2 linked regions of the Oryctolagus cuniculus genome follow. The main gene of each other region encodes a partner of the protein of the gene in region 2 in a complex. Links are inferred from orthologs where the notes say so. Each region holds a gene or a part of one and is shown on either strand. Other genes may lie near its edges.

Region 1 (2,818 bases), on a different chromosome or scaffold from region 2:
AACAGGCGGCTACAGGTAGAGTCTGTTAGAGTCGGCCAGCCAGGGTGGCAGCAGCTGGAACTAGGAACAGCCCCACAGCAGGACACCTGGGGACAGAGCAGATACAGGCTGCAAGGTGGAGACTGCTGAGGAAGGGGGTAGATTAATTTATGTGTGAGGGGAACCCTTAAGGTTGAATTCTGAAATCCCCCCGTTTTTCCAAGATCTTTGAGACTCCTTAGACAAACATCTGGGGCTGGGAAGAGGGAGTTTACTGAGGCAAAAAAAACAGGCATTACAAGAGGAAAAGCCTGTCATTTTTTATTGGCCTCCACAGGTTTTCTTTCTCCGCTTCAGCCACCCTTACACTTAACAGTGTTTCATATAGCCCTTGTTTAAGGAAGCTTTCCTTGTCTGTCTTGCCAAGCACCCTCTCACCTGGGAGAAGTGGGTTTTCACTGTGACATTGCCGACTCCGCTGCGCTGCTGCGCCAGGTCCAGGGAGGTGCTGGGGCCTTTGTCAGCCCTTGGACCCATCGTCTTTGTCCTTGGGATTAGGCCCAGGTCCTCCAGATGAAAAGAAGGTAGATGAGAAAGTAGCAGCAGTTTGTCTTCATCCTATTGGCCTGCTGCTTAGCTGGGGCTGAACTCCCGGTCTAAGGCAGCATGGGGACATCAGGAAAAGAACACTGCTCTCCAGGATGTGGTAAATGCAAATACCCCTGTGAAAGTGCTTCCTTGTCAGGGCCTCGCCCACTTAGGCAGTTCTCCCCAGATTAGGGAGCCTCCTGCGGATTAGCATTCTTAATTGGTTTAGGATTAGACCTCATCCAACCTGGGCAAACGGTTCCCTGGGGCAAGGGAGGAGGAGAGGAACTGTTTCTGCGCTAAGGGAGAAAGACGAAAAGCTATCGGGTTGGGCTGGTTTGGAGCGGTGATGCGTTACATCTGGGGTGAAGCCTTGCTAAAAACACTGCTACACGTCTGAAAGGAAGTCTGAGAAGGGAAACGCCTTCCCCGCTGAAGCTTCTAGAACGGCAGCATAAAGAAGGTGTGGCCCAGCGCCAGCCCCGCCTCCCCTGGGCGGAAGTCGCTGGTTAGGTACCGGAAGCCGTGAGGCGTGGCTGGTCGGCGGCGCGGTGGAGTAGATATGGCGACCGAGGGGGACGTGGAGCTGGAATTAGAGACTGAGACCAGCGGCCCGGAGAGGCCTCCTGAGAAGCCACGCAAGCATGACAGTGGAGCGGCGGACCTGGAGCGGGTCACCGACTATGCGGAAGAGAAGGAGATCCAGAGTTCCAATTTGGAGACGGTGAGGTTGGCCGCGAGTGCGTCTGGGCGGGCTGAGAGCAGAGGGGCTTCTGAGCCGGTAGCTGGAAGCCCGCGCAGACGGGCGTCCCGATCCCGATGGCGGGAGGAGCCAGTAGGGTAGAGGATAGTGCCAGGGGAAGCGGAGGTCACCGGAGCCCGCCTCTTGCCAAGGGGAGCTTGACGGATACTAATCTTAGGTGGAGAAGTAACACAATTGAATAAAACGTGGTGCTTGGATCCCAATTGCGCTGGCCATCAAGCATACATCCTGTGTCGCTTGTTACTGGGTTTTTAAAAAGGTCACTGGGGAGTGTGGGTAGCGAAGTAGTAACAAGACCTCTTTCCCATAGGCCATGTCAGTCATTGGAGACAGACGGTCCCGGGAGCAGAAGGCTAAACAAGAGCGGTAAGTGTTGAGTGCACAGCCGGGCAGCATTACCAGTTCCGTCCTCAGACATTAAAGACCATTGCTATGTCTTTGTACCGTGCTTCAAGTCTACCACCAATTCCTGCAGACCTAGAGATTTTTTGTTAATGGAAGAAAGGTGTCCTGGCCAACACCTGCCTGCCAGAAGCCTCTTAGAGGGAAGGAATGGCAGGAATGGTGGGAGTCATTTTATATTGTCACCCTGTTTTTCAAGATCCATTTATCTGCGGATTCCAGCTGATAATTCTCCCTACGAGTTTATGGTGGAAGTAGAGACTAACACACTTAAATATTTGCAGGGAGAAGGAACTGGCTAAAGTCACAATCAAGAAGGAAGATTTGGAGCTGATAGTGAGTAGTAATGCCTAACTAGTTTAGGGCAGGGAAGGTGGTTCTGCCTAATTTGGGCTGTTTCCTGCAACTAGTAGAAATCGGTCAGCATGTCTGGTGGCACATTAATGCCAGGGAGGAGACGTGGGTAACATGATCTATCCTTTTCCGGCAGATGACCGAGATGGAGATCTCTCGAGCAGCAGCAGAACGGAGCTTGCGGGAACACATGGGCAATGTGGTCGAGGCTCTTATTGCCCTAACCAACTGATCAGTGCTTTCTTACCCATACTTACTGGCTTAATTTATTGCAATAAAAATGTTTTGGTCTTTATTGCTGTTTTTATCATCTTGGATCAAGTGCATTGTACATCACATTTTGTTGTGGCAAACATATATATGTTGAAATATAAATGAATTTAATGACGCTCCTCCTTCCCCACAACCCAAGAATTGGCGTAGAAGAGTTCCTTGTGTTCAGATGCACATAGTAGGTGGCTGGCCAGTCCCATTTATCTGACTAGCAAGCACACAGCGATTACTGTACTCCATGGCATGTGTCTCCAGGACAGCTTATTATTAATAGCTGAAAGGCCAGCACCAGCCTTGTAGCCATTGTGTAGATACAGGTTACCAACTCAGTTCACAGGCCAGTTTAAGTTAGAATTTAGGTATCCCAGGCAGAACCATGGAAAGAAGAGGGGCAGAAAGGCCTGACACAGAATTGATCTATGGGAGATTTGAATTCTGAACTGTAACACATTCTACATT
Region 2 (3,500 bases):
TTAAACGTTTAAGAAACTGATACCCTAAAAACCAGTATGGTCTTTTCTACATTTAACTATCTGGAGTTTAGAACCCTATAAACTCACTCATCAATTATCTTTCTTTTCTGTATTATTCTTGGCACTCAATTAAGTCTGGCAAAGTCTACTGTACTTTGTACTTTCACATTCTCAAACAAAAACTTAACATTATAAAGTGTACATAAGCACTTTGCATAATAATTGTCATTTAACATATCTGGAGATGAAACCTCATACCAGCATTTACAAAACAGGATAAGTATTATGAATCAATATTCCACTTAAGTCCAAGCCCTGTACACTGTTTTAAAGTTTAATGAGGGCATTTTTGGGGTCATCAGTACTGGCAATCTGTTCTAAATATTGGAGATGGGACTATGGGAGGAAAACATGAATATTTCAGATATCTCCTATCTCACAAAACTCAATCTGTCAAAGTCACTCACTAAGTGCCAGAAAACTATCTGGCATAAACCAGTCATATCAGTAGAAGAGGTCACAGTGATATCTGCATTATTAACACTTTGTACTTCTACTTTTCCAAGAATAGAAGCACTATGTTTCACAATTCCCCTTACCCAAAATTCTTCAACTCAAAATACATAGGCACAGAGTCTAAGCAAATCTGAGATGTTCTCCAACAGATAAGGTATATCACAGCTATGTTATTCTCAAAAATACTGTCTAGATATTCTTACCTGTATTATCAAATGATTGATGGTCACACTTTTAACAGCCTGCATTAGTCAACATTAAATGCATTTATTGTGCCACAAGTACATCTATGCTTCCTTTTTAGGTTATTTTTTAATATGTCCAAGAAGAAACATCTGCTTAAGGATTACTTAAGGGCATTGACCTATAAGGACATCAATTCCATTTTTAATACGAAACTATTACTGGATTTACTGAAGAAAAAGAAAAGGAGAAAAAACTTAAATCACAACAAACTTCTTTAGGTCAGTTAAAGGCCATATCTCTAGCTGGGATATTAAAGAAAAATTAATCTCACCAGCCCAACTCTCAAAGTTAATGCCACTAGTAACAATCAACAGCAGGAAAAAAAACCTGCTAACAAGCCCACTCATTAACAAAAAAGCAGTTTAATTCAAATACTTAAACCAAAGTATAACACTACCTACCCAAACTGCCCCATCCACCAACAAGAGAAGAAATAAATTGCTTTAGAAACCAAAATAAACTTAGTACTTCTAACAAGGATAACAATGGTTCAACTCCTGAGAGTGCTCAGAAGGAAGGACTAAAGGTGGAGTGAAGGCAATGTCAAGGGATTAATCCCCCAAATAGTCTTTAAAAATTCAAAGTACCACAAACACACTAAACTTGTCTATGAATTGGAGAACAAGATATTGCTGCTGCTTTTTGTCTTTTGAAATGAAAGGTTTTGTAGGCTCTGACCTTCAATGTGAAAGCAGGACATTAAAAAAAAAATCAGCTAAAAAATTTGAAATTATGACACCCAAATTTTTGGGACCATATATCTTAACTATGAAACTATACATATCTACCTTCTCTTTCCTTCAATCAAACCACCTCACAAAAAATAAGAGAACTAAAACAATCCAAACATGATTATTTTTGAAAGTCCTTGAAAGAATGAAACTTCTAGAAGAAAGGAAAGAAAGGGGGAGAAACAAGAACAAGGAAGGAAGAAAGCTTTAAAGGAAAGGGGGGGGGGGGAATCAATGGGCCTTTCTTTTATTTGGCGACAAGCAAGTGCAAGAAAGTTCATTTGTAATTTGTTCAGTTGTCTGTCTTTTGCACATCTGCATTCTGACCAGAAGGGACTTTGAGGTTTTTCTGTAGCACGTGAGCATCTGCTGGCTCTATCCTCTTATAGTAGTTCTTCTTTGTCTCAATAATCTCAAAGCCAAATTTCCTGTAGAAGTCAATTGCCGATTCATTGCTGATCTGCACATGCCTGAGGGATAGAATACCAGGAAAAAAAAATCAAAGTTCATCAGTTCTCCAGATAGTGTCACATTGTCTTTAGTTATCAGTATGCAACAAAGATTAGGCAAGTATTTCAGAAAAACTCTGGGTGACAATTTTACACTTTTAACTTAATCCCTACATTTGCAAGACAGATGGCTGAGATTAAGAGGCTCAATAATAGTGCTTATTCCTGCAGTCAACAAAGGTATGTAATATACCCTAGAAATCATGATTTTTTTTTTTACTGTAAAAAGAGAAAAGACAATAAAGATGATTCAAAGGCCTCCATATTAACACTTGCAAAAAAGAAAAAAAATCAGGGCCTCAAATGCCTAACTATACCCTCTTTCTGACTGATTATAAAAACATGCTATACTGTGAAAATAATCTGTGGTCTCTTTTTTTCAAAGATTTATTTTATTTACTTGAAAGACAGTTACAGAGAGAAAAGTCTTCCATCTGCTGGTTCACTCCCCCAGATGGCCGTGACGGCCAGAGCTGCACCGATCTGAAGCCAGGAGCCAGGAGCATCTTCCGGGTCTCCCATGGGGTGCAGGGCCCAAGCACCTGGACCATCCTCCACTGCTCTCCCAGGCCACAGCAGAGAGCTGGACTGGAAGCGGAGCAACCGGGACTAGAACCTGGTGCCCATATAGGATGCCAGCACCGCAGGTGGAGGATTAACCAAGTGAGCCACAGCATAGGCCCCATCTGTGGTCTCTTGAGATCCAAGTATAATTATAATCTGATTTTGATGAATAAATTCTACTACAAATATGCACATCACTAATAGCCTTGAAAAAAACATAGAAAGTACTAATAGTATATGGCATGAGAAAAGCAGTATTAATCATTTTGTACTATGCAATATGTGAGTCTTAATCCTGGTTTCATTCCTATGACTTTGGAACTCTTACCTGATTATCAAATAGCTAGCTATATCAAGTTTCTAATCTATTTTTAAAAGCAAACAAAACACATAAAACTTCATAACAGGGGCTGCTGCTGTGGCACAACACGTTAAAGCCCTGGCATGCAGCACCAGCATCCCATGTAGGCGTCAGTGAGTCTCGGCTGCTTCACTTCCAACCCAGCTCTTTGCTATGGCCTGGGAATGCAGTAGAAGATGGCCCAAGTCCTTGGGCCCCTGCACCTGCGTGGGAAACCTGGAAGAAGCTCCTGGCTCCTGATGGCCAGCTCCAGCTGTTGCGGCCATCTGGGGAGTGAACCAGAGCACAGAAGATCTCTCTTTATCTCTCTGCCTTTTCCTCTCTGTAACTGCCTTTCAAATAAATAAATAAATCTTACAAAAAAATTCATAACTATACTCAGCCCTCTATATGCACAAGGTCTGTACCCACAGACTTAACCAATCAAGGATGGAAAATATTCAAAAAGAAAGCACATCTGTACTGCTCATTATTTTCTAGTCAAAAAATGACAACTATCTACATAGCATTTACATCATATTAGGTATTCTAAGTAATGTAGGGATGATTTAAAATTACACAAGAGGATGTGCA

What was found. Proteins that work in one complex are often made in the same cells at the same time.
Region 1: NAA50 (region 2) and HYPK share a complex: the UniProt entries of both Homo sapiens proteins name them as parts of the N-terminal acetyltransferase E (NatE)/HYPK complex. The link is inferred for Oryctolagus cuniculus from reciprocal best matches to the Homo sapiens genes NAA50 and HYPK.

Annotation. Positions count from the first base shown.
Region 1 is NC_091443.1:66,686,291-66,689,108, forward strand, and holds HYPK (huntingtin-interacting protein K), read left to right. Parts: upstream 1-1,129; coding exon 1,130-1,291; intron 1,292-1,640; coding exon 1,641-1,696; intron 1,697-2,016; coding exon 2,017-2,068; intron 2,069-2,222; coding exon 2,223-2,318; downstream 2,319-2,818. Other genes in the region: SERINC4 (serine incorporator 4), read right to left, coding at 1-275. UniProt on the Homo sapiens protein: Component of several N-terminal acetyltransferase complexes. Inhibits the N-terminal acetylation activity of the N-terminal acetyltransferase NAA10-NAA15 complex (also called the NatA complex).
Region 2 is NC_091435.1:69,729,790-69,733,289, forward strand, and holds part of NAA50 (N-alpha-acetyltransferase 50), read right to left. Parts: intron 1,964-3,500; coding exon 1,786-1,963; 3' UTR 1-1,785. UniProt on the Homo sapiens protein: N-alpha-acetyltransferase that acetylates the N-terminus of proteins that retain their initiating methionine. Has a broad substrate specificity: able to acetylate the initiator methionine of most peptides, except for those with a proline in second position.